Linked DNA regions of Canis lupus familiaris. The protein of the gene in region 1 interacts with the protein of each later gene in a pairwise test. Links are inferred from orthologs where the notes say so. Each region holds a gene or a part of one and is shown in the gene's direction. Other genes may lie near its edges. The genes, in order: TXLNA and CDR2.

Region 1 (15,502 bases):
TTTCCTCATTGGTTTATTCTTTCCAAATTCATTTGCTTTTAGTTTTCTAAGAACTATAAACTCTGGCTGCTTTCCATGTTCTCAGGGCCCCTGGGTAGACAGACAAAGCTTGATGATTTCAGAGCAGACATAGGCCAAGAAACCGTGGCATTGAGTGTGCTGAGTCCAGACAAATGATATTTATATACACATCCAAATTTGAAGAGAAAATGTATTTCTTTAGGTTTCAAACACTGTACTAGATATAAAGCAAAAATAAAAACCTGTTGCAAAGTTCTAAATCGTCTTCTTGGAATCATCCTAAACTGAGTTTTTTGGTGAGGAAAGGGTGTTTTTTTGTTTGTTTTTTATGATAGTTACACAGACTGTGAGAGAGAGGCAGAGACACAGGCAGAGGGAGAAGCAGGCTCCATGCACCGGGAGCCCGACGTGGGATTTGATCCCGGGTCTCCAGGATCGTGCCCTGGGCCAAAGGCAGGCGCTAAACCGCTGCGCCACCCAGGGATCCCCAGGAAAGGGTGTTTAAACATGTGGCCTAACAGTGGAATTAGGATTGCAGCAGCCTACTCCTGCAATAAATAATTTTTTTTTAGGATTTTATTTGAGAGAGAACAGAAGCTGGGGGGAAGTGAACAAGCAGACTTCCCTGCTGAGCACAGAGCCCGCCACCACCTGGCAGATCCCAGGACCCTGAGATCATGACCTAAGGCAGATGCTTAACATACTTGAGCCGCCCAGGTGCCCCAAGAATTTTTTTTAATCACCTTTATTGAAATACAATTGATACAGTAAATGGCACATATTTAAAATATACAATTTGATAAGTTTTGACATACACACCCATGAAACCATCATCACAATCAAGATGGTAAACACATCCATCACCTCCAGAAGTTTCCATATGCCCCTTTGGAATCCCCTTGCATGCCCAACTCCCAGCAAACACTGATCTGTTCTGTCACAATAGTGTGCATTTTCTAGAGTTTCTCTACAGGATTTTGATCACATTTAATCAGTTCCACTTACAGCCCTTTGAGCCACTGAGGTCATGCAAACTATTCCCATTTAGGTCAGTTCCTAGGACAAGATTAGGCTAGGACAAGACCTAGCCATAAAGCTGATTTAACCTAAAAGGATTTCGGTTGTCTGATAGTGTGTTTAATTCATTGCCAACATTTTTATTTTTATTTTTTAAGATTTATTTACTCATGAGAGAGAGAGGCAGAGACATAGGCAGAAGGAGAAGCAGGCTCCATGCAGGGAGCCCGATGTGGGACTGGATCCGGGGAGTCGAGGATCATGCCCTGGGATGAAGGCGGTGCTAAACCGCTGAGCCACCCTGGCTGTCCAATTGCCAACATTTTTAAACGATCTATCTTGAAATTTTTCTGGCACTACTAGATCTGAGTTTCTGCTTAAAAACAATCTGCAAGAGCTCTCTATTTTACCACAATCCCCAGCGTTCCCAGTGGTCTCCCCAACTGACCCAACTTTCCTTTATAGCAAAGGAGAAAATAACCTTTAACCCATGTTTCTCAAATTTTCTTATTCCTTGCCTGCCTATTTTAATCAGCTTTATTGAAATACATTTTTACCCACCTGTCCTCTGTAGGCCACTGTTGATCCTTCTAGCTACACCATTCTACCCCCTGGCCCCACAGATACCTTGTTCTTATTATCTTTATAATATTATTTGCCTAGAACATCTTCTTCCCATTGGGAAGCCATCAAGGCCTGATTATATGTAACCTCAAGAGATTTCCAACATGTTTTTTCTGGAAATAATCAGGGCCTTTGAAAGACCTGGATTCCAAGCATTTCTGGCTTGAGTTCCACCTTCATACTATATCATATTGCCTCTCAATGTTAGTTGATAAACAGCAGACTAAGGGATGGGGAAGAGCACTGGCCATAAGTCTAACTGGGGAAAATAATTGAACATCTTTAAGAGCCCCCACACTGTTCAATTTGCATGATTTCATTCTGTCTTCACTGCCCCAGACTGATGCTAGGCTTTAGGAATACAATTTAGCCAAGAGTTCTTGTAATGTTCATTGACTTGTAAGCAAATAATTTGAATATCTCATTACAAATGTTAAAGAGTTCTATCCAAAAAAAAAAAAAAAGGCTCTATCCAGACCTAGAGAGCTGGGACAGACTACAGAGCACTGGGAAGGGTCTGAAATGACCTTTGTGCTAGACCTCAAAATACTAGTTTTGCCAGAAGGGCATTTTGGAAACTGGACTAGCACCTGCAAAAAACTTGGAAATCCTGGAAATAGAGTATAGTGGGAGCAAAAAAGGCAAAGGGCATGGACAGAACTGACTGGAAACAAAAGCCAAGCCATTTACACATTAAATTCCAGGCACAGGGGTTGGTAGCTTTTATTCTATTATGTATAGACAGCTGAATATAGAACTGTGATCTCACATTTAGAGAAAGTTTGGGTTTTTCCCCTTGAGCCCATGGCAATTCCGATTTTGTCTGTAGAGGATGGGCCAGTCAGAGAAAATGTTCAGGAATTGGCTGAGGCCAAAGTTCTTGCAGAGCCCTGTCAACCCCTTCCAGAGAAGGACTCAAGCTGGTAACGCAGAGTTGGGGCGGGTGGGGGGAATAATTCCACCAAATTACCTTGACTCATCCTTTGAGAAAGTGCCATGGTGAATTTCTTCTGGGTACGAGTCAGGGTAATCCAGGAGGTAAAACGGAAGACTTTCTGATTTTGAATCCCTACTCACTACTCAATAGCGATGGGACAAGTTATTTAACTTTTGCCTTACTGTCCTCAGATGCAAATGGGAATAAAAAATAGTACTGAGCTTAGTAAATAGGCGGATTAAGCTAGTAGGTGGGAAAGCACACTGTAAGCAAAGAACTACTACTGTTATGAAAAGTTTTCATTTGAATACGGAAAATGAGGCCTGGGAAAGAAAAGAATGGCCCCTCAGCGAATTCGCGATGAAGTTAGAACTGGAATACAGGTCTTGATTCCCAGCCCAATGCTCTATCCCTTGTCATCAGAGTTCCTGGTCATAGATGTTCACAGCAGAGGGTTGAGGCTGGTAAGGGCGTGCGGGAAAGAACAGCCAGGCACAGGGCTCTGGACCTGAATCATAAATTCTGCACGACAGGAACCAGGCGGATTCCAGTATTCGTGCAGAATGACTAGCTCCTTTCAGACCTCCTGGGTATCCGCCTCCCAGGACTGAAGTCCTTTCTATTGCATCTTGGGAGTTGGGGGTCAGCCGCGGTGCATGGAGGGACATGTAGTCCTTTCCCTCCCCCTCCGCCTGCCCAACTCACCCGCCTCAAAGGCCGCCTCAGGCTGCCTTCGCTTCATCTTTCCCAGCAAGCCCCGCGAGAGCGCCGGCTATTGATTGGCTGTGGCAGGAGCAGGCGGCTTGGCCGGCAGCGGTTACCCAGGGTTTCCGGTGCGAGGCCAGAGCGGGCGAAGCCGTCAGGAGGTCGGCAGTGAGGTGCGTGTTGCGGAGGTTTGGGGGGAACAAGGCGACCAGCAGGTCGGTGGGCCTGAACACTCTCGGTCGGTGGAGGGAATCACGCCGATTCCGCGCGAGGGAGTGGGCTGGGGGGGGCAGGGCTGGTCCTGTGCGCATGCGCGGACGGGAGGCGCGCGGGGCGTGGGTGGCTGCGCGCGGGGGGGCCCACGTGGGGCTTGGGGGCCGGAGGAGGGATGGGAATCGAGCGTCCCGCCACGTCAGTCTCCGGCCCTGAGCCTATCCCGCGCTCGGCCTGTGGTAAGGGGGCTGTGTAGTGCCGGGAAGCGGCTTCGAGAAAAAGGAGGCCTCGCCTGCCGCGCTTCTGAAGCAGCGCCCCGAAAACCTGCCTGGGCGCGCCGTGCTCCTCCGACTGGCCAGAGAGAGAACCGTTGGCTCCCTCTGGTGAGGGACGGCCAGTGTGTCCTAAGAAGCTTTGTGCACCCGGGATTGGGATTTCGGATCCAGGCTGTGAAGAATTTTGAAGTCTGGAATATAGCGAGTGTGCTTGTTTCTATAGGATCTGTTTCCAGCCTAGCATTGCAAACCACAATGAAGAACCAAGACAAAAAGAACGGGGCTGCCAAGCAGTCGGGCAACACTTCCAACCCAAAAAGCAACCCGGGGCAAGCCGAAGTAGGACCAGAGGGAACCCAGGGGCGCCCCAGCCAGCCGGCTCCTGCGACAGAAGCTGAAGGTTCCTCCAGCCAGGCTCCAGGGAAGACTGAGGGTGTGTGCCATTTCTGCTTTCCAGCGGGCAGGGGGAGGAGTTTGTGGTGCGCCAGGATAGCTTCTGGAGTTCCAGGCCTAGGCCACTGTTTACCCAGGAAGGAGGAAATGTAGAATGAGAGGAGGACTGCCACCCGCAGATCCCTCTTTCCCCAGGGTGTTGATAGAGCCTCCCACTCAAAGCACAGGAGCAGAACTCTTAAGAGAAGGCTCTGACAGGGTTAAGTCAGGTGGCGCTCAGATGAGACACCCAACCAGCTAGCCCGGCTTAGAAATGCTGCATTCACCAGTGGGCAACTACTCTTCATGTTGGAGGCTTTCTTAGAACTTTTTTAATAGCAAGAAATGATTTTTGCAGGGAGGGGAAAGGGAGGGACTAGATGTTGAGCTCCAGGTACATGCCATCCCTATATGCTGGATGCTTTATTTCCTTGATTCCTTTCACATCTATAACAGACATGATTGGGCAATAGTGGGAAATAATCTTATTTTATGGGTAAATAAACTAAGGCTTAAAGAAAGTAGGCAACATTTAGCCCCAACCAGTAAGTTTGGGCCTGAAAAATCCCAGCAAATGGAATTAACCATCTTGTTTCTCATTTCTCATTCTGCCGCTCATCTTGCCCTGCCACAGGAGCACAAGCCAAAACTGCTCAGTCCGGGGCCCTCCGTGATGTCTCTGAGGAGCTGAGCCGCCAGTTGGAAGACATCCTGAGTACATACTGTGTGGACAACAATCAGGGGGGCCCAGGTGAGGATGGGGCACAGGGTGAGCCTGCTGAACCCGAAGATGCAGACAAGTCCCGGACCTATGCTTCAAGGAATGGGGAGCCTGAGCCAGAGACCCCAGTGGTCAATGGTGAGAAGGAGACCTCCAAGGGGGAGCCGGGCACAGATGAGATCCGGACCAGTGACGAGGTTGGAGACCGAGATCACCGAAGGCCACAGGAGAAGAAGAAAGCCAAGGGTCTGGGTGAGCAGAGGGCAGCTACTGGTGAGGTGGGGATGTTTGGGCTAACCTGCTGTCCCAGGATTCAGAGGAAATTACTTTCTGGAGCACCGAGTCACATTAGTTTGATCCAAGCAAGGGGTGTGGACCGTAGAACAGAGGGGTGTAGATGGGATCCTGTGTCAGCCAACACTATCTCTAACCTGCTCTGTAAACTTGGGCAAGACCTTTCTCCTTTCTGTTCCTTAGTTTTCGTTTCTCTACAGTAAGATTTGGACTAGCCCAGGGTTGAAAACACAAATAAGCCAAGTTAGACAGGGGACCCTAGGAGGACAAGACATTGCCTACTTCATCCAAAGGGGTGATTGCCATCTGGTCCCACCATGCTGATAGCATATAATACTACAGGCTAAGTGTAGCCAGCCTTTTTTTTTTTTTCCCCCCCTCATTCTTTTTTCTCCTTTTTTCCCCTTTGTTATTATGCAGTTAAGTGAAATCTCTCTGGATTTTTAACAATTGGCAACTGAAGAAAAAAAAAAAAAAAACAATTGACAACTAATATGCTGGGAGCCAAACAAAACTCGTGTGGGTTTTGGCCTACGTGCTAGTGCTTTGCAGTCTCCACACTGATCTTTCGAGCCTCTTGGGTTTGACACTTCAGGAGCCTGGTGCTGTGCTATGTACAGGAGCCCTCCAGGGAGACAGAAGGAAGCCCCTTTGACTGAAGCACAGTGAGAGAAAGTTATTGGGGGCAGGGGACTAGTGTGTATGTTAAAGAATCAGAGTTAAGTGATATTATACCTGTGTCTTAGTCCTTAATTCCCCACCCTCTGTTTGTCATCCTAATGGAAAGGGTTTTTTTTGTTTGTTTTTGGTTTTATTTTGTTTTGTTTTTTAAGATTTTATTTATTTACTCATGAGAAACACAGAGAGAGAGGCAGAGACACAGGCAGAGGGAGAAGCAGGCACCATGCAGGGAGCCCGATGCGGGACTCGATCCAGGGGACTCCAGGATCACTCCCTGAGCCAAAGGCAGACGCTCAGCTGCTGAGCTGCTAAGCCACCCAGGCATCCCTGTTGTTTATTAATCTTGGGATCACATATCGGAAGATATATTTGTTTAAAAGTTCACTGTTTAGGAGGGAACAAATAAAGTTCACTCTTTGGCTACCACTGTTGACAAATGTTTAGTAGTTACCGAGGAAACCTATTCCTTTTTGCCTCCTTCCTCTTTCGAAAGGGCTTTCCTTGCATTGACACAGTAGCACTTAAATTGGCCATTGGGATGTCTTTTTTTTTCCTCCTGCTATTAGAGCAGGCAGGTTTTTTCTCCCACTCTCAGTGTTCACCATGGAGTCTCCACATAGACTCAGTTATTAGTCTATTAAGCATTTGTTGAGCATGTCGTCTGAGATGGGCACCAAAGACAATATGGAGCAGCACTGGGGCCACAGTAATAGGCTGAGTTCAGTTGGTGGTAACCCTCATGAACCACACGGTCTAATGGGATGACAGCCAGGTCAACAAACAGTATCAAATATGATAATGTAGGGCTGCCTCAAGGCCTGAGAGTGTGGGCCGAGGCCTGGGGAAATCCCCAGAGAAGGGGGTACATGATTTTGATCCCTGTGCTTTGCAGGGAAGGAGATCACGTTGCTGATGCAGACATTGAACACCCTGAGCACCCCAGAGGAGAAGCTGGCAGCTCTGTGCAAGAAGTATGCTGAACTGGTCAGTTCTCCCCCTTCTTCTTGCATCCGCCCTGCCTTGGAAAGTCAGCAGGCCACCTGGCATGGGGTTGAGGGTGCCGGGGCAGGTGGGTGGCTTAATTCCTATTCAGCCTCTCTCAGCCTTTTCTCCATCTGTTAAGTGGAGAGTCAAGTCCCAGCTGGCCCCTTCCATGTTGACTGTAAGAAGAAACCCTTCATATTACAGTGGTAAAACCATAGCTCCTGGCCCCAGTCCCACATACCATGTCATCTCACACCTGTGTGCCTCAGTGTGCATCTCCCCAAAAAATGCACAGTGCCATCCTCACATTTAAACTAACACTGATGTGATACTCTAATACGCATATTTCCCCATTTGTTTAAAATGTCAGTTTGATCAAATCAGGGTCTACAGGAGATCCATCTAATACTTTAGGTCCTTACAACTTTTTTTCCTTTTATTCCAAAATAGTCTTCATTTACTGCCAACCTTTTTCTCATGACATTGATTTACTGCAGATCAATCGCCCTGTGCCTCACTTCTTCGCTTTTGTGGTGACATTTAACTTCTTCCTTTACCTCCTTAGTTCCTGTAGATATAGGGGAAATTAACTCTAGAAGCTTGATCCAATCCAAGTTCAACTATTTTGATAAGAACTCTACATAAGTGGTACTCTGTAGAGAAAGTGTGTTCCTCCCACTTTTACTGATGGAAGATTGTCCACTGAGTTCAGGTGGGGCCAGCCAGGTTCCTCCCTTGTCAGGTTGCCATCAGAATTTGTATAAATGGATTAATCCACTGTGGGTCATTTCCTAACTACTTGTTTTTAAGTTCTTTCACTCCATTTTCATTTATTAGCTAGAATTCTCTAAGAAGTTTTTCTCATTTGTAAAATTGGGAAAAATCACACCTGCCTTGTGGGGTTGCTATAATGATTAAATAAAGGATAGGATATGAAAAAGATACCACCCCTTCAGAATGAGCCATCCAGGGAAAGATTGATGAAGAGAGCAGGAGCTGAGTGATGTTCTCAAGTAGAGAAGGAGCTAAGGGCCAGAGCATAAGGAGAAGGCTGGCTGTGTTGGGAAGCACCACTGGATCCTGGTAACCAGAGGAAAAGGCCGGTGCAGGTGGATGGGCAGAGGTGGAACTTATGCCCCTGTGCCTCTGGTTGCTTCCATTCTCAGGGAAATGAGAAAGATATTTTTTGCTGGGCCAAAGGAGAGCTGAGAAGGAGGAGGATGAAATAGTTCTCTGGAAGAGGAGTGTGACTAACATAAGGAATATGGTTAGGCCGCATGGCAGACGAGGGTCTTCCTCAAATGGGTAGTTAGGAATTAAAAGAGGTTCTTCTGCTTCAGTGCCTGTGCAGAGGAATCAGAGGTTGGGATATCAGGGTTGGGGTTTTGATAGGAAAAGGGGGCAAGAGAGTTGAGTGTAAGAAGTCTTAAGACAAGTATAAGAAGGTCAGTGATTATTTAAAGACACATTCAAGGAAAGTGAAAGGATAGTTGGGTCACTGGGTTGGAGGTCCAGTATGGTAGACTTTCTGGGGCCACAAATTTTGGATGGAATGAGCTAGAATGGTAGGGGATAGTGGTCCTGCCCTGGGATGAGATAATGGAGGGGTGTGTGCTTCTGGGTAATGACAAAATCTGGATCTGATGTCCAGGACAGTAACCATTAGCCAACTGAAATGTGGCTAGTCTAGATTTGGATGTGCTCTAAGTGTAAGATACAACTTAGGTTTCAAACACCTAAGGAAAGGGGAAGAAAAAATAATGTTCAATGACTTGAACAGTTGTCATTACATAGAGTTGCACTGTATCAGCGTTGACTAGGCTCATGGGAGGGTAGCTGATGTGGGGAAAAGACAGGGTCTGAGAAGGTTAAGATCTGTCCATAATGAAAAGGCCAAAATGATAACAGCAGTCATGTTGAGTGAAGTGGCGCTAAGTTTCAGAGCAGTGAAGAGGGAGTGACGGGGGTCTATTGAATACAAGGAGGAGTGGTAAGGGGTGTCATCTGAGGACATGAGTGTCACAAAGGTTGAAGGAATGTAATGGTCTGAGAGTCTTGAGAACTTCATCTCTAGAGTTAGAGTGGGGAGAGGCTGGGGTCTGCAGCCTCTGAATCCCTGCTTGTCGTAAGTGCCTGTTTCTGTATACTGGAGATGGAGCCCTTGGGTTTATCGGAGAAGTACATTAAGCACCCACACAGTGTCCAGCCAGAACTGTTAACAACTGGAGTCGGGAGAGGGCCGGGGTCCCTTGGGAAAAGCCCGACTAGGCACTTACTTGCCTTCCTGCTCCACAGCTGGAGGAGCATCGGAACTCCCAGAAGCAGATGAAGCTGCTGCAGAAGAAACAGAGCCAGCTGGTGCAGGAGAAGGACCACCTGCGTGGGGAGCACAGCAAGGCTGTCCTGGCCCGCAGTAAGCTAGAAAGCCTGTGCCGGGAGCTCCAACGCCACAACCGCTCCCTCAAGGTGGGCTGGCCCCTACGACTCTGGTTCCCTTGACTTCCACTTTTCCTTGGTGGGCTTTCCCCTTAAAAAGTAGCACGGAGGGATCCCTGGGTGGTGCAGCAGTTTAGCGCCTGCCTTTGGCCCAGGGCGTGATCCTGGAGACCCGGGATCAAATCCCACGTTGGGCTCCTAGTGCATGGAGCCTGCTTCTCCCTCTGCCTGTGTCTTTGCCTCTCTCTCTTTCTTTCTCTGCCTATCATAAATAAATAAATGAATGAATGAATGAATGAATGAATGAATGAATGAATAAATAAATAAATAAATAAATAAATAAATAAATAAAATCTTTAAAAAAAAAAAAAGGTAGCATGGGATTTTGGCAGAGAAATTGATTTCCCCAGTAACGCCCTGCCTTAGGGATAGCTGCCTGTAACCACTTGACCTGTCCCTGTGTCAGGTATGGTGAGGGAGCCCAGGAGGCAGGTCTTTGATATTGTTCAGTTCACTGGCAGTCTGCAGGTAAGTCAGGTTCCAGCGCTGGTGGACAGCTCCTCTCCCAGACTTAAGCAGTCTGAAATGCTGGGTCTTTTTTCTTTGTCCTGCTTCTCCTCAGGCAGGGTCCGTCTGGTAAAGCCCAGTCACTGCTGTGACCTCTGGGTGGTTTTTATATATGTATCCTTTATATATTTGTTACAAATTTGGGTCAGTGAATATATAGTGTTTTCCAGCTTGTTTTGTTCATTTTTAGTTTGTCTTTGACAACATTTTTACTGTAATATAAACTTGATATGAGAGATTCAGAGGTGACAAAAGTATGAGATTCAAAGGTAACAGTTGCTCACCCTCCTCAGCCCCAGTGTCCAGGAGAAACCACTGGGAAGTACACCTACTTACCCATAAGTTTAAGTACAGCCTTCAGACTTCCTGCATCCATATGTAATTTTCTATAGGGTTCTTTAAATGGAGAGGTCATGTGTATTGTTTCACATCCTGTTCTGTCCTCTCACCTAACATGTATAGCTCACTTTTCCTTTTTTTTTTTTTTTTTTTTTTTTTGAGGCTGTCTCATTCTTTTTTTTTTCCCCCTGAGATTTTACCTATTTATTCATGAGAGAGACCCAGAGAGAGGTAGTGATATAGGCATAGGGAGAAGCAGGCTCCTTGTAGGGAGCCCGATGGGGGACTCGATCCCAGGACCCTGGGATCATGACCTGAGCCAAAGGCAGACCCATCATTCTTTTCAATAGCGTTGTTGTATGCGTATTCTGTATTTTGTCAGTGCCCTAGTTAAGGAATTGCTGAGTTGTTTTTAAGTTTACAGTACTTCATACGTAGAGCTACAGTGAAAGTTCTTGTTATATATATTCTTGGGTAAGTGTATCTAGTTTGTCCCTAGGATAAACCTCAGAAGTTAAAGATCTGGGTCAAAGAGCATGCACGTTATATAAGTTTTAATAGACTTTGCCAGATTACCTCCCCACCAATATTGTCCTCGTGCCTAATTCTGCACAATCTTGCCAACCCTGGGAACTACTAAATTTTAACTAGTTGGTGAGAGGTGAGAAATGAAAGCACAAAACAAGACTGCTTAGCCTGAGTCTGGAAGAATGGACTTCAGGAGACCTAGATTGCTCTAGAATGACACTTAGGTGTATGCCTGCATTCTTCTAGGGAGAGAATATCTCCCTTGCTGTCACCTGATAGAAGGGTAGAGGGGTCCCCTGGGAACCCCCATTGGCATGGCATCTTGGAGCCTGGCTGGTGCTGCTCACTGAGAGTAGAGAGGGTTGTGGGTATAGAGCATTGTGGGCTGGGGAAGAGCAGCTGATGGAGCCAGGGCTGACTTCTCTGCCCAGGAAGAAGGCGTGCAGCGGGCCCGGGAGGAAGAGGAGAAGCGCAAGGAGGTGACCTCCCACTTCCAGGTGACACTGAATGACATTCAGCTGCAGATGGAGCAGCACAACGAGCGCAACTCCAAGCTGCGCCAGGAGAACATGGAGTTGGCTGAGAGGCTCAAGAAGCTGATCGAGCAGTACGAGCTGCGGGAGGAGGTAAGGAGTCCCAAGCAGCCAACACCCGCCTCCAGGCCACCTTTCCTTTACTATCTAGAACACAAGTGTGTCCCCATGTACCTTTTCTCAACTGCTCTGACCTTTGAAGTCCCACTGAGTTCCGCGCCTCCTCCTCATTCCTGCTCTCACCTGCCCCCGGCTCCTGGGGCTCCTCAACATTTAGGACTGCCACTCCCTGAAATTTGCACATCTAGTCTTGGTCTATAGGTGGGGAGATCTTTGCCAATGGGGCTAAGCGGTTGTGTTGGTGGAGGTGTCGTTTTTGTCCTTTCTTCCCATTTACAAGGGAGTCGGGCTACAAAAGTGAGGGTTGTTAGCCCAGCGGAGTGATCTCTTGGGGCTGGAGGTTTGAGTGTATTTATTACTTGGCTTCCTGGGAGCTGATCTCATCCCTGTGCACACCTAGGACTGACTGGAGAGAAACAAGGTGAGGTTGGGAAGTAGACCTTCCAGGGATTTGGGGCCCATGTGCTATAGAACATGCGGGAGTCCAGCGTGTCACAGTGAGATGGGAGGCTGGGCAGGGTACCCTGGTGTCTGCAGATGGGACATCCATGCAGCCCACTGGGCCTCCCGAGAAAGAGAGCTGCTGACAGGTGGCCCTCCTACCATGCCTTCCTGCAGCATATCGACAAGGTCTTCAAACACAAGGACCTGCAGCAGCAGCTGGTAGATGCCAAACTCCAGCAGGCCCAGGAGATGCTGAAGGAGGCAGAGGAGAGGCACCAACGAGAAAAGGACTTTGTGAGGCTCGGGCCCTGTACAGGGGAGTCTGGAAGGCGGGGTGGATTCTGGCTCAGCTCAGAGTCATGTTTGTAAGGGAAAGTTGCTGCCTGGCCGGGCCAGGACGCAGCTTACTCAGGGAGCAGGACACTTTGTGGGTACTGGGGTATATGGCTAAAAAAGACCAGACAGCCCCTAAGGGTTTCTGACAAGATCTGGGGTCCTATCTTGAAAATAGCTCCTCAAAGAGGCAGTGGAGTCCCAGAGGATGTGTGAGCTGATGAAGCAGCAGGAGACCCACCTGAAGCAGCAGGTGAGACAGTGTGTCCTGATCCTGTGCCTCTGAGGTCACCTTACTGGGCCCCCATCCTAGGGGAGGGAAATGGGACCCTCGTTCTAGGACCACCTTGACTGCTGTGTGACCTTGCTGAGCCTTTGTTCTGTCTGGACCCGCCCAGCACCTATGGTGACCAGGTGGCTAGGTGAGCTTGAAGGACTTTGTTCCTAGTTGGAAGTGTTGTGCAGCTTTTGAGGAGGCAAAATGAGAATGGTTGTTCTTAATTACATAAATTGTACTTAATTTCGAAGAGAAGTTTGAAAACAAACATAGAGGCAAAATATAAGTCACCCCAAATCCTACTTTCTAAGCTTAACATTTTGGATTCTGTTCTTTAAAATAGCTTTTCTGCTTTAAAGAAAAATGGTATCTCGATAGAATTGTTGGGTCAGAGGTCCAAGGATAGGTCTGACTGCATTAGCCATAAGTGCATTCTAGAGAAGCATAATCTTATCTCTGGGCTTCTTTCTCTCCCAGCTTGCCCTATACACAGAGAAGTTTGAGGAATTCCAGAACACTCTTTCCAAAAGCAGTGAAGTGTTCACCACATTCAAACAGGAGATGGAAAAGGTAACTGTGTCCAGCCTGAGTGTGGCTACAGGGGCACCCTGGGCCTGCCTTCAGGAAGCCCCCAACCCCTGGGGTTCCTTCTGGGGAGCTATTCACAGTAATAGCATGATTGATACCAGGGATGGGCTGTATGGAGGGAAGGGGTCAGAGCCTTTCCCGCCTCTCAAGGAAGCATCACTGATATGTGCATCCTCCAGGTTGTCCTGGAGAAGAGGGGCAGCCTTGTCATGTGGTGGTGGTGGTGGTGGTGGTGGTGGTAGTGGCGGTGACATTTACCTTGAGATGTCTTCAGGTGGCACAGACAGCGTGCTGTAACATGTTGCCCACCTTGGAGATTCAGATGGACAGTCTGTCCCCCTGACTATTTTCTTCTATGTGTCCCATAACTCAGATGACTAAGAAGATCAAGAAGCTAGAGAAAGAAACCACCATGTACCGGTCCCGTTGGGAGAGCAGCAACAAGGCCCTGCTTGAGATGGCTGAGGAGGTGGGCCGAGTGTGCTCTGCAGCTACGGGGGGTAGGGGAGTGCAGTTTTTGAGTGACGGGCCCTTTCCTATACGTTCTGCAAGTAAGTCATGCAGCTGGCATGAGGTGGAGCTGGGACTCATAAGTCCATCTGCCCAAGTCCAAAGGCACTGCCAGTGGTCACCCTGTGGGAGATGATGAGCCCAGTGGTAGATTTGCAGTAGAAGCAAAGAGAACAAATGGTAGGTAGAAGTACAGGAACTGAAAAACCAAGGGGTACCAGTGGTGGGCACAGTTTATATGCAGGGTGGCTCAGCTAATTTGATTTCGTGGTTTGAGATGCAGAAGGGAACTAATTAGTGTATGCCAGATCCTCCTCAATGTTTTAGGTGATGCCAATTCATTGAACCTTCTTGAGATCTATGAGGTTAATGTTAGTAGTTTGTTTGTTTTTTTAAGATTTATTTATCTAGGGGCACCTCGGTAGCTCAGTTGGTAAAGCATCTGACTTCAACTCAGGTCATAAGCTCAGGGTCCTGGGATCACTCTGATTTGAGCTCCCTGCTGAGCAGAGAATCTGCTTATCTCTCTGCCCTTCCCCCCTCACTCGTGCACATGGGCATGTGCACACATACACACTTTTTGTCTCTCATCATTTTTTTTTTTTTTTTTTTTATGAGAGAGAGGCAGAGGGAGAAGCAGGCTCCATGCAGGGAGCCTGATGTGGGACTCGATCCCAGGTCACCAGGATCAGGCTCTGGGCTGAAGGCGGCGCTAAACCGCTGAGCCACCCAGGGATCCCCTCTCTCAGATCTTTAAAAAAATAAAAAATAAAAAAAGATTCATTTATTTGAGAGAAAGAAAGCATGCACCTAGGTGCATATACAGGCGGGGGAGATGAAAGAATCTCAGGCAGGCTCCTTGCTGAGCACAGAGCCTGACATGGGACTTGATCTCAACCCTGAGATCATGACCTGAGCCGAAATCAAAAATCAGGTGCTTAACCGACTGAGCCAACCACGCACCCCAGTAGTCCATTTTAACAGATAAGGAAATAGGCTCCAAAAGCCAAGCCTTACTTTGCCAGTGTCACCTGATGGATAAAGGAAGAAATATGTTGTCTTCAAGTCGTGCTGCTTCTCTGCACCACAACCCTACCAACAGCCAGGTCTTGGCATATGCCAGGGCTATTTTCCTAGGAAGGGGCAGGGTTTTGATGCTGGCCTGCTCATAGTATCATTCAAGTGTGAATGTTTTCTACCAAGTGACTCTGTTGGGTGGGGGATTAATGGCATGGCACTAAGGCCCGGTTTCTCTCCCCAGAAAACACTCCGGGACAAAGAGCTAGAGGGCCTACAGGTAAAAATCCAGCGGCTAGAGAAGCTGTGCCGAGCACTGCAGACAGAACGCAATGACCTGAACAAAAGGGTGCAGGACCTGAGTGCTGGTGGCCAGGGCTCCATCACTGATGGTGGCCCTGAGCGAAGACCAGAGGCTGCAGCTGCCTCCAAGGAGCAGGGTTGTGAGGGTCCTGGGGCCCAGTCACCTGGGTCCCCAAGGGTCACAGAAGCTCCTTACTGCCCTGGAGCACCGAGCACAGAAGCACCTGGCCAAGCAGGGCCCCAGGAGCCCACCTCCACCACCGCCTAGGAAACCTGGCACAGGGGGCGTGCTGGGAAGGGAGCAAGCAGCCCAGCCAGGCCTGGCCCATGCAAGGCTCCCACCGCTAAGCAGTCCAGTGCTGAGGCCCAGGGTGCTTTAACCTGGCTGACATCTGACACTTGGCAGTTTTGGATTTTGTGGGTCAGTTTTACTTAACATATGGCATATGTGCAAGGCCTCATACATTTCTATCAGTGTAAAATGGGCTTGCACTGGAGGTGGGGGTGTGTACGCATGAAGTCACTGGCTCTTCTGTGAGCTGAAGAGTCTTAAAGAAGAGCTGCCATCTGTAGCTGCTGTCACAGTGGGCTGGCAGGACAAGT
Region 2 (15,941 bases), on another chromosome or scaffold:
ATCTAAAAGTGCACAGCTCTAAAGGCAGATGCCTCTGAACCTCTCTTCTCTCATCTATGAGGATAAGAAGAGTCTTTCCCTTAAAGGTGGTTGTGAGGATTAGGTGAGATAATTTATATGATATGCTTGGCAAGGTTCATGGCACAGGGTAAGCACCCAATGTGACTTACTATTATTATGGTATATACGGTAACCAAACTATGATAAAGGCCTTGAACTAATCTTCAAAAAGACAAATCGTATCCTGTATACTTTGCATAAGAAAATGTGGCAACACTTAAAATATCTTAGAACTATTTCTATCCCACATAGTTTAAATGTTTTTGGAACCATGTAAATAGTAAAAACTCATCTGTCTAGAGTGACTCACTCTCTGAAGAGGATAATGAATTTTACCTGTCACTTAATTATGAAAATAGGAAAAACCCATATCATAGGCTAGGTTAAGTCATATTTGGGGGTGATATATTTATAGGTGAAGAAAGCAATATGATTCATCAACACTCCAAGTGGTGTAAAAAACAACCCATCAGGCTGGTATACTTTTGGAAGGAGGATACACCCTTTCCAGTAACAGTCATGGGCATGGAATTTTAATAATGTTCTAGAATTCCAGGACTCAGTCTTTAAACCAAATGTTTTGAAACCTGGCTTCAAGAATTCTTGATCAAGTAACCCTCATCCTTATAATGGTTACAGGAACATTAAATGCCTGGATAAAGCAAAATTGCCATTTATTTCATATATATATATATATATATATATATATATATATATATATATATACCTCAGCTAAGGTTTAAGTGAGAATGCTCAGAAGAACAAAATTCAAAAGCTAAAATGTTTCAAATATCATCTTATCTACTCTCATTAGGTTCTCTTTTCTTTTTTCCTTTCATTTCTTTTTCCCATTATGTTTCTATTAAATATTATATAACACCTGGGGCTGTGAATCTTTGGATCTCTCTCTCTCTCTCTCTAAGTTATAGTAAGTACAGTTCACATACAATGTTATATTAGTGTCAGGTGTACAATATAGTGATTCCACAAGTCTATATGTTATGCTATGCTCACTGCAAGTGTAGCTATCCTCTATCACCATACAACATTTTTGCAACATCGTTGACTCTACTGTCTTTGAGTCTCTTATGTGAGTCATTTTGTCAAAGTACTGATATAATCAGCTTTTTCATTTCCAAGCTAGGTAGGAGTTAAACCTTTCATTCCTGTGGGAAGATACAGGAAGAATCATCACATACCTGTGGGCAAATAAAGCCTGCCCCATACATGATGCTCCTTATGGAAGAAGAAAGAACATCCTTAGGAATGAGACTATCTGCAAAGATCATCATGAAGTTATTGAAGAAGGTTAAATGGAAGACTTGGAAGAAATTCATTACCAGGAAAAGGCAAAAGTTTTTCTGCGTCAAGACCTGTCTCATCAATGAGACCACAGAGGTCCAGGGGAGATCCTGTTCACTTTCTGAGAAAAGGTTTTCCTCCAGGCTTCTTTTAGGTTCAAACCGATTCATGTGGTACATGCCAGTGTAAAGGCTGGCTGAGGCAAGAATGGCAATGACCACAGCAACAGCCTGAAAATTGAGTAAAATTTCCATGTTATCAGAGATAAGGCCACAGAAAAGGATACTGGTGGATCCTACCAGTGATGCCATTTGGTTAATTTTAATAAGCTGAAGCCGACTTTCATGTCTGGTGAAAATCTCTGCAAACAGTGTACACTGAGCTTGCTGAACAAAGGTAAGCGTGCTATCAAAAGCACATAATGATACTACCAGGTGAAGTCCACTAAGCCAGTCACCTTCTTGATAGTATTTCCAAGGGAACCAAGGAAGCAGGAAGGCTATTGAATATAAAGGGGCACCGTACAAAACAGAACTACGACGGCTAGAACAGCAGTCAGCCTGAGAGTTGTTGTGAAAGTACCCAGTCAGGTCATTAAGAGCATTCCAGATCATTAAAATCATCTAGGAGGAAAAAAACCAACATATTATTATTTTAGAATGTTTGATGAACATTGATGAAAGTGACTCCTAAATTTCTTAAGTGAAGTAACTAAAACTATGCGGTGGGGGAAGCTCACTGCTTTCAAAACCAGCATATATCCCATAATATTAATAATCATATCAGTTAACGCCACTCAAAAAGCCAATGTGCATTCACTTTGTGTTTAGGCATTGTACAAATACTTCAATTAATTCATTAAATCCTTAAACCAATCCTATGAACTGGGTACTACAATTATTCCTACTTTACAAATGAAGAAACCGAGGGCTGCAGAAAGTTATCAATTTGCCTAGCTAATAAACGACAGAGCCAGGGTCTGAGCCAAGGCAGATGACCCCAGCATCTGTGCTTTCAATCATATGTTAGATTGCTTCCCCATAAGGCACACAAGGCCAAGCCTGTATATATACCATGGCATACTTTTACATAATTCCATTAGGAAAGGTTAAAATATCAATGTTTGCCACTGCAAAATGCCAAAAAATACTGATTAAGTCAAGTGTGTTGTTGGTAATAAATAACATTATAAAATATAAGGGCTTTTAAGACCATTAACTCTATCCACCTTGACCACATTAACTGGTAATGAGTTACAATGCAATTTGTGATTACCACAGAACTTTTCTAGACATAGACTATCTTAATATTTCTAATTGTAAAAATAAAAAAATATATTATTCCATATAAGTGAATTTTCCAGGTAACCAAAGCCTTCCCTTTAAACTCTAAAGCTTTTATGTTTGAAGTGGCAATATTTAAAAAATTTCTTTGTCCTCAAACAGAGGATCTTGGACATAGAAAATCTTTTCTTGAAAAGTCAGCTATTCGCGTGAAGAGTCAGCCCTTTGGAAAATCATAATACTGTACAACTGTAGGGAAAGAGAAACTCTGTCCTAGGTGATAAGATAATGAAGGTTCCATCTCACCTGGGCTTGGTAAAAGGCCACTTCTGAAATCTTGTACAGATGTAAAAACAGCTTCACATAGTAGAAACTGAAGACAGAATTTAGCATTTCAGTCCCTAATGTTATCATAGAATATCCCCAAGCAATCGGTTTGATACTTAAAAGTGTCATTTTCCACACTAAGGAATTCTTCTTCCTTTTTTTTTTTTTTAAAGAAAAGGAAAGTAGTTAAAATTCATACAATAGCTGTTTTCATACAATAGCTGATGGGTGGCAAAATTCCACGGGACACTAATTTTAGGTAAGGAAAAGTCTAAAACCACTAGCTATACATATGTCACCAGTTTCAACACTTAACTTTCTTATCATTCTCTTAACATTTTTTGAGAAGTTGCCAGGGACACTAATTTGCATAGAGTTTAACTCACTGGCACATATATATTTAAAAAAATACACCTAACACGGGGCTTAAACTCATGACCCCAAGATCAAGAATCACATGCTTCTCTAACTGAGCCAGGCGCCCCTACTTGAATATATTTTTAATAACTCTTTCAAGTTCTAAAAGTAAGATTTATTCATGAGTTTGGATATGCTTAACTAAGGACCAAGGAGATGTGTTTACGGTATTTTCCTCCCTACTGGGGAGGGTGCAACAGAAAAGGAACAAGGAGGTGACATCCTTTAGTTAAAGTCAGGCAGAAGAAATAGTATAAAGTTAACCATTCAGTAGTGACAAACTTGCATTGGAATATTTATTCTTGGTCTTCTCCTGACAGACTGTATAACTTTAGCCCAAAGGATGTATCAAAGATGGATATTAAAAATAACACATCTGGGGGGCACCTGGGTGGCTCAGTTGGTTGAGTGTCCAACTCTTTCATTGCAGTTGAGGTCATGATCTCACAGTCCTGAGTTGGGCTTGAGATTCTCTCTCTCTGCCTTTCCCTCTACTCACATGCACTTGCTTGCTGTCTCTCAAAATAAAATCTTAAAAAAAATAAATAATAATACATTTGCTCTGATCTAGATGTCCCTCTTAAATCTGACCTATTGTCTTACCCATTCAATGACTTGATTCATGCAAATAAACAATAGGAAAAGTTTAACTAAGCAAAAGGTAGGTACTGATTCATCTTCCTTTTAACCTTGACTATAAGATAATACCATGATTTTTCTGCTTTATCCCTAACTTCCTGGAATATTTAGCCAGCTTTCCACAATCATTCTGAATCACAAAGACACAAGTATTCAGATAACTCAAGAGATGTTACTTGCTTGAATAATCCTTGGGAATTAGGGAGGCACTGCAGTCTATACTGCCCAATTTCTTAGGGAAGGGGAGGGCAAGCTAGAAGCAGGGAGTGAGCAACTGGTTCAAGTGACCAAATTATCTAAGTCCCTGAGCTTCACTTTGCATTGGGTAGATCCAAAAATGGTGCCAAATCTATAGGAAATAGGGCCCTATAATTAAAAGGGGTTATTAAACCCACATGCAGACCAAACATAGTCTGTAGACTAAATAAAGAATATTTTACTCATATGTACATTAGTATCCTTAAAATATTTGTAGGTTCTGCTGTAATGATAAGATACCATCTGAATTTTTTTGTTATCATTACATGGTGCACAAACACCTGAAAAGCACAAGTGCCATTATGTGGAGGCCAGCCAACATTTTTGGCTTTAAAGGTATTCTCGGATTTGAAAAAGCTGGGAACTACTGGTGAAGATCCCATTCTAGTGAGTTACTTTTGGCCTAAGGGAGAACGAAAAGACTGGGTTTTCATTCAAGAAGGCCAAAACAAAGGAGTCAGTTGAACCAAAAGCCATGATACAAATTTAGCTCACCAAAACGTAGGCACTCTCCTTTTTCTTAGTTTTATTTCAGGCATGCTGAAACAAGAAGCATGCCACATCTTCTGAGCTGATCTATCATTACATCAGGAAGTGGGTATTTATAAACTCAGAATTTTGCAGAGGTTCACTGAGTTAAATTTTTTTAAAAAGAATTTGAGTTAAGCACCTATCCTGTCTGAAACATGTGACTATAAGGTTTTAATAATATTCTGAAAAACTCTTGTAGCCTGAATTTCTCTTTGTTTATATATACTGAGAGGAGGAAGTAAAATTCCCTTTATTTTCATTTGCAACAGGAACTATCAATATTTTGGTTTATATTATTTTCATCATGGTAAGTACTTATTTCATAAAGTATTAAACTGAAAATCACCACTTAACAATTTTTTTAAAGCCACCACTACAATCTAAAAACTCTCCTTACCTGATTTTCCTATAGCAACAAAACACAAATTATATCTTTACGAGCAGGGATCTTTTATCTTTTTTTATAAAAAAAAATTTTTATCTTTACGAGCAGGGATCTTTTATCTTTTTTTAAAAAAAAATTTTATCTTTTACGAGCAGGGATCTTTTTTATCTTTTTTATCTTTTCTGAAACTGGTTCTTCTTTACCACAAAAGGTTTTATACAGTAGAATTTAAGTAGCAAAATGGTATAATGATTAGGCTGGACAGGTGTATGATGTACTCATGAATTATTCAATGAAAACCCAAAACTTCCTTTTAGAATCAACTTGGGTTGTTATTCACTAACCTACTACTACACCAAATAATATTAATGTCACAGAGAAAGCTGTTCCTGACTGCTTCTAAGTTTTGACTAAGTAGACTGTAAAAGAATGATGGGGACTTCTCCAAAGCATGACTTTAAGCAGCGAAAGCTAACATCTGTTTTTCAATGTGATTTTTGTACAAACTTTCCAAGGGAAAATCGTTTCCCCAAAAGGTGTCCTTAAAACGAACCCACTAATACCAAAGACTAAACTATCAATAACTTTAACTCTCTATATCTTTCTCTCTTTTTTTTTTTTTTTTTTTTTTTTTTTTGCTTTTGAAGGAGAATGTGAAAGAATATTTCAATACACTGACCAATTTGATTTGGAATCTAAGTTATTTGCCATGGAGAAAAAAGCTAGCACTTTCAATCTTGTGGATCAGTGACTATGAAAATGAGTCTCTTGAAGGTCAAATGCCTGATTCTAGCCCTTCAGCTTCCACAAATCACCGTCAGCAAATCCTAAATCCAATCATCTCTTTCCAAAGAAAGTGTGTAGTGACTTACTTTTATTTTTTTTTTAATTTTTAAAAAAATTTTTTAGCGACTTACTTTAAGATAGTTGGCTTTAAATTATTTTCTTTTGGCTCTGGACTGTATCTCTACCTGAATTTTGACAATTAGGGCTAAGTAAAGGCTGTAACGTAACCCAGTTTTCTTCTTTTTTTTTAACCTAGCAATAAAAAGTAATCAGTAACATTTTGCCTTTTGGTATAACCGAATTCAGAAGAAAAGGATTTGAGTTTACTGTTCCTCTTTTATTACTAATACCATTATTGCTTCTACGTTTATTGGTTGGCATTCTACTACTATAGGAGAGAGCACGGCTGTCTTTTATGAGCTGTATCTTGACCTTTCCGTCAAGGTCGAGAACATTTACCTTCCAATCACCCCATTTAGGAGTTTCTGAGTTTTGTCTGCGCGATGATGGTAAAGGCCGCTCCCTACGAGTAGCAATTAACTTTAACTTTAACCCCAAGGAAAGCGAAGTTCACTGCCCTGCTGGCCATCAAGTGCTGCATTCAGCTCCAGCTCCCTCCAGGTGCAACGTCACGACCCTGGGTACTACACCTGGCGGTCTATGAACCTTATAAAAATCGTGTACAAAAGTGCTTGCAATTTTTTTCCCCTAAGGAAATACCTTTAACTGCACCCTATCCCCCCTCCCCCCCAGACACTCAAATGGGAGCCCTTCATTTCAGGGGGAAGTGAGTACAACTCTCAAGGGTTTGGAGGTGAGCGCTCAATCAAGGAGAAGACAGCTAACAGCCCTAAACTACCGACCGATCCGTAACTTCCCAGCTCGAGGAGCACAGCTGGGGGGGGGGGGGGGTCCAAAGTCCAGAAGAGGCCAGCCGCGCAGCGGACCTCGGGCTCCCGGCACCCTTCGCGCCTCCGCTCGCACGAAGGGCGCCCACGACAGCCGCCCACGGCTCGGACGCGGGCCCCCGCCCCTGCAGCCCATTTAGGCTGCCCACTGGCTAACTGGCTGGCCGGACACCCACCACTGGCGCCGCGGAGGCCGCCAGCTCCACCGCCAGCACCCCAAACGCTGGCCCAGGAGCGACCCAACGCACAGGCGAGGGCGGGGCCCTCGGCCGCACCCCTTCGCCTTTCCCCCGCCTTCTTTGTTTCTTCCGGAGTCGCCATTGGCTGCTTGCCCGCGAGACCGGGCGACCCGCGGGCCTGCGGTGAGACGGGATTGGACGACGTCGCCGCCGCTCGACCGGCGGCCCGCTCGCGATTGGCCGAGGCGCCGCCGGGGGTTTGAATCGCGGCCCCGGCCGGGGAGGGTTCTGCCAAAGTGCCACGTTGGGCCCGGCTGCGGCGTGAGGAGCCGGTTCAGGGCGCCGGCCCGGGCGCTCGAGCCGGGGCTCCGGTCGTTGGGGCCGTTGGGCGGCTCGAGGCGGGCCGGGGAGCCGGTGCGCGGCGTGCGGGGCGGGTCGCCCGGCGGCAGCTCTGGTCAGGAGGCGCGGCGGAGCCTGGGCGGCGGCGCGTCCCGCCCGAGGGCGGCTCTGGCTGAGGGCGGAGGAGCCGGTGGAGCGCCCGGGGCAGCGGCTGAGGCGGGACGGCGGCGGCGGGGGCCGCTGCCCCCGGAAGAGCCGGCCGAGATGCTGGCGGAAAACCTAGTGGAGGAGTTTGAGATGAAGGAGGACGAGCCGTGGTACGACCACCAGGACCTCCAGCAAGGTGAGGGCGCGGTCACCCCCCCACACACACACTCCTCGGGAGGGCGGCCTGGCCGGGAGCCGCCCGGGCGCGAGACCGTTACGAAGTCGCCCCTGCCCGCGGCCGGGGGCCGCCAGGTGCGGGAAGGTCTGGCGCTCACCTGGCGTGGGGACCCGCCGCGCGCCCGGCCCGCCGGAGGCCGCTTCTGCGCAGTGATCCTCGCCACCCCTGCGTGTGGGCCGCGCTCTGTGGGGGGCGCTTCCCCGGGGGGACCCCGCGTAGCCCGCGTGGACGGGGAGCCGCCGCAGGTGGTCGGGGTCGCGGGGGGGGGGGGGTGCGGGGTGTGTGGCAGGAACCGTGCCGGGCCCGCCCACGTCAGCCGCCCCATCCGTTCCCCGGAGAGGAGCTTCTCTTCTCTTGCTCCCATTTCCCAGATGAGGAAAGCGAAGTTAAAAGGGCCAAATGACTTCGCTCGAGTCAAGTATGGGGGCGAGCATTTTTTGAACTCACACACTCAGAACGAGGAGTCATGGCCACTGCCCAGACCCTGTGTCTTCTTTATCACCGGTTTACAGCTTCTTCAGTTGGGTGTCAGAAAGTTGAAAAAAAAAAAAAAATTTTTTTTTTTTTGTTGCTTATGCATAGTTCAGATGCCAAGTGAAAGTGACTTGAGGCACTTTGCAGTTTGCGCTCTAGCTTTTATTTTATTATTATTTTTTGTAAGTTTAAAAACAGGCATTGGGATCTTGGCCTGCCTTGGATTTCTTGCCGAAAGTGTCTCCAGAGAAATCTTGGAGCAGCCTTCAGTTTGGAGCCAGTGCCCTCCCCTTTTTTTTTTTTTTTTCTTTTGGTATTAATAGCGGGAATGTGCAACTGGGGACACTTTTTGAGTGTGTGGGTTCTTAACACTGGTGTTCATTTGATCCTCTCATCAAGCTATATGAATCTAGTAGATTCTATTATTGGGGGATCTAGGGTTCCACTCCAAACTTCAGAGCAAACTTTCTTAGCCACTATACTGAACACTCCTTAGGAATTTTTTTCAGGCACCTTTGGTGTCTGCAGTTCTGGGTAAATCAACTTTTTTAGCTTTAAACGTGCACTGAAAATTAACATCTAATTGAGGTGACTATTAAATGACCATGGTGTTGGTTCATGCTAATCATTGAATGTGGGGTGGCAGGGAAGGATGTAGGCTTGAATGACTTGTACTTAGAAAACAAAACAACTCTTTTGGGGAAAGGTGGCTTCTGATATGCCGTGGACAGTCACTTAAACCAAAGTAGTTCACCATTTCACTTAAATAGCCCAAGCTGTTCAGTGGCTGCAGTGCAGTATTTCCCATCATGTTCTGAATGTCCATAGGCAAATTTGTCTTACATTTTAAGGAAGCTGTTTTCAAAACTGCTGCCCCTCTCCCCCATAAGGGGGATGCCTGGGTAGCTCAGCAGTTTAGTGCCTACCTTTGGCCTAGGACGTTATCCTGGAGACCCAGAATCGAGTCCTATGTCGGACTCCCTGCGTGGAGCCTGCTTCTTCCTCTGCCTGTGTCTCTGCCTCAGTCTCTGTGTCTCTCATGAATAAATTTTTTTTTTTTTTTTTTTTTTTTTTTTTTTTTTTAAAGGAAGGTGAGCTGGAACCCTCCCTTTTCTTATTTATTTTTTATTTTTATTTTTTTTAATTTTTATTTATTTATGATAGTCACACAGAGAGAGCGAGAGAGGCAGAGACACAGGCAGAGGGAGAAACAGGCTCCATGCACCGGGAGCCCGATGTGGGATTCGATCCCGGGTCTCCAGGATCGCGCCCTGGGCCAAAGGCAGGCGCTAAACCGCTGCGCCACCCAGGGATCCCTCTCATGAATAAATTAAATATTTTTTTTAATTCCCTATAAGGATTGATGGCCTAGTTTGATACATTCTCCAGGTTTAATGAGGCAACCACTGCACAATTGGAGCATTTTCCTACAATAAATTATGTAGTTTGTATAATCACAGCTAAATATTTTTCTTTAGCAAGCATAGATCTGTGCAGGCCCTCTCCCCTTTTTAAAAATCTAGCATACTTAGCACATAATAGAGGCTCAGTTTTAATACTTATTGAACTGAGTCGCTCACATGGGATTAGTGTTTTCATGGCTCCCTTCCATCAGGTGCTTTAGTCCACACTGCCCTTCCACCCTGTGGGAAGTTTTAGGAACAACCAGTCATAAGATTTCAGTCTATGGGAAACAAATGCAACATGTTGGCACTACATGTGGAATTCTTTAACCTCTTTAACAAAGCCATCGGATGTTCAAGTTTAATGAAACTTTAATGAGCACAGGTCTAAATCAACTTAATGTCACTTTGCATTTGGAATTTGTTCTCTACTTTTTGGAAGACTTTTACATCTGTTACCACAATTTGACTTTGACATAACCCTGTATGTCATAACCAAGTGTGTGGGTTAGGAATAGATGTGAAATTCCAACAATTATAACTTGTGGAATATAGCCTGTAGAAGAATGAAGTCTGCACTGTGAATAAAAGGATATCTTTGTCCCAGTTTTTAAAAATTATATGTTAAAAAATACCTAAACTTGGGCAGCCCCGGTGGCGCAGCGGTTTAGCGCCACCTGCAGCCCAGGGCGTGATCCTGGAGACCCTGGATCAAGTCCCACGTCAGGCTCCCTGCATGGAGCCTGCTTCTCCCTCTGCCTGTGTCTCTGCCTCTCTCTCTCTCTCTCTCTCTCTGCATCTCTATGAATAAATAAATAAAATTAAAAAAAATCTTTAAAAAAAATACCTAAACTTCTAATGAATTTTTAAGTGCGTTAATTTCTCCCCCCCTCCAAAATATTTTTGAGTCTGTGCCAGGTATTCATCTAGGCACTGAGGCTACAGTGCCTATCCACAGATAGGATAGATAGGATCCTACTGCTGGAGTTGACAGTCTAAGAATCTGTTTACTAGTGAAACCTGGAGATATTGCCTCCTAGGACATGCCCAACTACAGTGCCTGGCACATGGTAGGTCCTCAGTAGATATTTGGTGCTGAATACAGTTTGGGAGCAAGTCTGTCCTTTTAACCAGATTGATAAACACATCTAATGGGATTTTATCAAGCGCAGACATCTGTTTTGTTTTGTAAACATCCTCACTGTTAACTTTACTGAGCAAGGCTTGTTTGGAGAGAGCTGCTGAAACAACTTTTTAAGATCCTGTTCTTAAAGTCATTAAATTACAAACCTGTTTCCTTTAGCAACAGAATGATTTAAGTAAATTGACCATATCAAAGTTTGCTGGGGAATTTTTTTAATTTGCTGAAAAATTCTAACTTTGGAAGGCTCTGGTCCACCATATTTATACCTTGTTAGAAATACGTAAAGCTTATCCAGGCAGAAGGAGAAAACCCTTTGCTTTTACAGAACACTTTGATAAAGAGACTGTCTTTTGTCAGAGAGCTGAGTTGGCTCAGTAAGAATACTGACAATGATCTCTGTGGGTAAGATCCTTTCTGGGACAGCAGGAGCCTTCTGTGCAGGTAATGATGGTGCTTGCTTTGAAATGTGCCCCTGAGAACAAGGTGGAAAGACTTCAGAGACTGAGTTTTCTTTTGGTCCAGCTGCTATTGTAATTGTCATTGGTGAGCTGTGCAAGCTTAGAATAAGGTTTCAAATTCCTACTCTATGGATCAGCAAATGAAGTCTTAGTTTAAAGGAATCTTCATATTTCTACTTCTTTTTGTGATGAGTACATTTGCCATGTGTACAACTAATTTGCTGAATCATTGTTGAAGGGTCATTAAAACTGGCACCATCATTTTTCTTGATGTTTATATTCAGGTTTTTTGCTTTCCCAATTATAGTAACGTTGGCAACAGGAGTTACACAGAAGCATCACCAAATGACGCATTTGATTTTGTAATAGGAAAAGCTTTCAGCTCTAATGTTGTTGAATTACTGCTGCAGACCACAGCTTAACATGGGAATTTGTTGTCCTCATAGTTTGTGAAAAACTGAAGTAAAATAAAAATATGATAGCAGTGGAATTTAAAGGTTTCAGAATTCTGGAAGAGAGATTCTTTGAAAAAATTACTCAGCTGCCAGAGCTAATCTTTTGCTTTGGCATAGGGCTGAATAGAGTGCCTGTTTAAAGCTTACAGTTTATGCTGTTAAAATAGATTATTATCACTCGCAAAGATTAATTAGTGAAAGTATTAAACATATGAGGGTATTAATAGGTTTTTAATTCTTAAGCCTGAAGTAAAAATACCACACAAGTGTGGCATTTTTAGTGGCTACCTAGTTCAGTTCAAAAGGATGTAGAAAAGACAACCTCTTAATGAAAATCTTTATTGTAAAATGGAGATGATCAGGTACATAAGACTTCAAAACTATATTGTTTCCTTTTGTGCCTTAATTAAAAATAAAAAGGACATTGAACATTCTCTTATTCCCCCCACTAATTATTTAGAAACCCTTCTTGGGCTTACTGCCAGCTTTTGGCTCCTTTTGGTTATGGAAACCAGATGCTACACAACAGGAAATAAAATTTTTTTTAAGAACAAAAAAAGACCCTTGTCTTTAAACTAACAGATGAAGTAATATCCTATTATGCAGTGTGACTTCACAGACACTTACTTGTAGTTGAGACTTGTTTTGCCAGAATTCTATCCTGAACATCTATGAAATATTTAGGAGATTGAGACTTCAGGTTACTGAACCAGGTTGGGGCTTTGTTTAACTGGAAATAAGGATTGAGATAAGGACAAGTCTCAAATTCTTTTCTGCATGCTATTTACTAGTAAGAGTACTGTGCTTGGCATCTCTTTCTGCAGCAGCGGGAGCAGGAAAGCTGCTCCTGGCTGTGTGTTAAGTAGTAGGCAGTTTCATAACTGAATGAAAGTAGTTGAAGATGGTCTCAAGTTAGTCTTGATTCTGGAAGAGGTTTTGCCTCAGGTTTTGATCACTGATTAAGAACACCTTTGGTGAGTCTCTGGCCCTTCCCAGTGAGGAATTACTACCTTAAAACAGACCAGGAGAGACTTAAGTAATGTCTAGGTAATGTTTATATGTTTATATGCTCTTTGCCTTAAATAAGCGTGGTGCCCCTTGTGTAGGGCTACATGTCCTAGGAGTACAAAATAATTATTTTTGGAACATCTGCAAGCTGTACATAGCGCCTTTCGCATTTAGTGAAAACAAGATATTAAACTGCCTGGAATTGTGTGTGTTTTCACTGGCAGAGCAGGCAATAAAAGCCAAGTAGCTCAACTCTGATTTCTCATTGCCATCTATAAAAAACAAGTGATAAGATGAAGTATCTCAAAGAAGGAAATTGACGGTCTACCTGAAACAAAGAGGTGTGTGGGTCTCCCAGTGTAAAGACATGGGATATGAAGACTATGAGATTGGAACCTGTTGACGGTAGTTTCTGTTTTGCTGTGACTCACCATGTAGATGTGGTCAGGTCAGTTAGCATCTTTGTGCTTCACATTGTCTCATTTGAAAATCCAGGCTAAATACCTTTGAAAGATAGATTAGTATCTCTCTCTCTTTTTTTTTTTTTTTTTTAGATTAGTATCTCTTAAAAGCTTTGAGCTGTTTATAAAGGTTCTATGCCTTGTGAATAGAAGATGTTATTTCATAGACTTGTTATCTGAAGTCTTCTGCCCATTAATGGATATTGTTAATATTTAAATCATGAGAGAAGGTATTTTAACACCTATCTACCAACATATATACTGTTTTTTAAAAAAAAAATTTATTCATGAGAGACAGAGAGAGGCAGAGACATAGGCAGAGGAAGAAGCAGCCTCCATCCCGGAACTCCAGGAGCATGCCCTGAGCTGAAGGCAGATGCTCAACCACTGAGCCACCCAGGCGTCCCTATACTGTTTGTTTGTTTGTTTTTAATTTTTATTTATTTATGATAGTCACAGAGAGAGAAAGAGAGGCAGAGACACAGGCAGAGAGAAGCAGGCTCCATGCACCGGGAGCCCGACGTGGGAATCGATCCTGGGTCTCCAGGATCGCGCCCTAGGCCAAAGGCAGGTGCCAAACCGCTGCGCCACCCAGGGATCCCTGTTTGTTTGTTTTTAATAAATAGGTGTAAAATGTTTTAAAATGAGCTGGAGTGGTGTGTGGTAGATTTTGATGATTTGTTTTTTTCATAATGAGGGAAAACTAACCAAGTAGAATACTAGTTATGTACTCTAATGGACAGTACCAGGTAACAAAAGTTGTGGCTTTTCTTTTACCACTTTCTCTAGGTTAAGTTTTAATGTCAGTAATAATGAATAAACCTAAAACTTTATTTGTCAACCTCTAAAACTTAAGTTTAAAAAGCGTATGTAGTAAGATTCCCAGTTTTCATAATATTTTTACATAATAAATGCTTTTTTATGACATTTTATGATGTATATAAATACTTTTTATGACATTAAGTGAAATGACTTTCCATCATACTTAAAATAAAACGTAAACATTCTTTACCATGGACTGTAAAATTTTGTGTACTCTTGATTTCTGTCTGCCCTCCAGCTTCATCTCTTTACTCTCCCCCTCATGCTTCTATCACACTGGCTTTTTGTCAGGTCGTAGATTATACCAAGTTCTTTCCTGTTACAGTGCCTCTGGCTGGCTTTTTTACATGGTGAGATCCTCACTCCTCAATCAAGCCCAGCTAAAATGTCCCTTCCAACTTTCCTTGTGACCTCCCTCTCTAGAATAGATCCTTCATTCATTATCACCAAATCTATTTTTTTTTTTTCTTTTTCACACATCACATTCAACTGGTTGACAGATCTTTAGCTCTACTTTAAGGGGATTCCTACCCCTTCTCTCCATCTCTTTAGGCCAGGATCTATAACACAAACCTTGCTTTGACACTTGCATTCACAGCAGCCAGATTTCATGGGAACTTTAGAGACTATTAAAGATCTACCTGAAGAAAAAAAAAAAAAAAAAAGATCTACCTGTACTTTGGCTCAAAGGTCTCCTGGAAAAAAATAGACAATAAAGATATGAATAAGTCCAGTCCATGAACAAATAATTATGGTGTTAGGCATCACCATGATGAATGATCATTTCTGAACTTAAGAATACATCTCCATAAAGTAGATCACTATTATTTAGTCTTACAAGTGTGGGTACATAAGAGCATGCATTACCTGGTAGAGGGACCCAGTTCAACTGAATTTTGAAAAGAACTCTGGTTTCTTTCTGTGCCATGCTACCTTCCATTGAAATTTGACTTAAATTTTATGTGTTGGGTTAGGTCTTGATTCATTCTTATTTTAAGGACAAGGATTATATAAAGTGAGTGAGATCATTTGCATTAGTCTAATATTCATTTGTTGTGCTAGATCTCCAACTTGCTGCTGAACTTGGGAAGACATTACTGGATCGGAACACAGAGTTAGAAGATTCTCTTCAGCAGATGTACACAACCAATCAGGAGCAGTTACAGGAAATTGAGGTAATTTACTGATTAAGAGAGTTACACTTTAAGTTGTGGCATGTTGCTGCTATTGACCAGTCATGTTCTGCTAAAATAGCACTTTCAAAGAACCATTGGAGAGACTTGGGAGGTTGATTTCTATTTTTTTGTGCTTTCCCAACATATGTCTGATGAAAGAAATTTCTCTCTTTACCTTGGTGAAGTATACTAGAAGCAAATGGTCCAGTGTTTACCATTATGTGAAACACAATAAAATTGTGAATATTATGCTTCGTTTTTAACTTTTTTTAAATAGATTTTATTTATTTATTTGAGAGAGAGTGTGAGCCAGAGAGAGAGAGAAAGAGAGAGAAAGTGAGCACAAGCAAGTAAGAGCAGGGGTGAGAGAGAAGGAGAAGCAGGCTCTCTGCTGAGCAGGAAGCCCGACTCGGGGCTCAATCCTAGGACCCTGGCGTTGTGACCCGCTGAAGGCAGACACTTAACCGACTGAACCACCCAGGCACCCCTACCTTTTTCTTTTAAAAAATGAATTATGTAATATTTCAGATATTCCCAGAGGTGTAAGAGAATACAACGAATAGCTCTGTACCCACCACCCAGCTTAAGAAAAAACTACCCATACTGTTGAGGCTCCCTCTTTGGTTATACCCCCTTCCCCAACCACTGCCAAATACCATCCTAAGTTTGGGTTTAGATGGAAAAAATTTTAAATTGTAGTACTGATTTCATGATGTGTTTAAATTTCTTGTGCCATTCAAAG

What was found.
Region 2: the proteins of TXLNA (region 1) and CDR2 interact in binary tests that used the Homo sapiens proteins (3 or more experiments, as listed by UniProt). The two-hybrid records come from large-scale screens. The link is inferred for Canis lupus familiaris from reciprocal best matches to the Homo sapiens genes TXLNA and CDR2.

The regions. Positions count from the first base shown.
Region 1 is NC_049223.1:68,408,580-68,424,081, reverse strand, and holds the start of TXLNA (alpha-taxilin), read left to right. Parts: upstream 1-3,328; 5' UTR 3,329-3,477; intron 3,478-4,015; 5' UTR 4,016-4,047; coding exon 4,048-4,225; intron 4,226-4,858; coding exon 4,859-5,197; intron 5,198-6,812; coding exon 6,813-6,904; intron 6,905-9,199; coding exon 9,200-9,370; intron 9,371-11,205; coding exon 11,206-11,400; intron 11,401-12,045; coding exon 12,046-12,165; intron 12,166-12,382; coding exon 12,383-12,457; intron 12,458-12,958; coding exon 12,959-13,051; intron 13,052-13,442; coding exon 13,443-13,538; intron 13,539-14,840; coding exon 14,841-15,167; 3' UTR 15,168-15,502. UniProt on the Homo sapiens protein: May be involved in intracellular vesicle traffic and potentially in calcium-dependent exocytosis in neuroendocrine cells.
Region 2 is NC_049227.1:23,514,328-23,530,268, forward strand, and holds the start of CDR2 (cerebellar degeneration-related protein 2), read left to right. Parts: upstream 1-7,581; 5' UTR 7,582-7,678; coding exon 7,679-7,757; intron 7,758-15,086; coding exon 15,087-15,199; intron 15,200-15,941. Other genes in the region: transmembrane protein 180, read right to left, coding at 1,260-1,985, 2,952-3,101.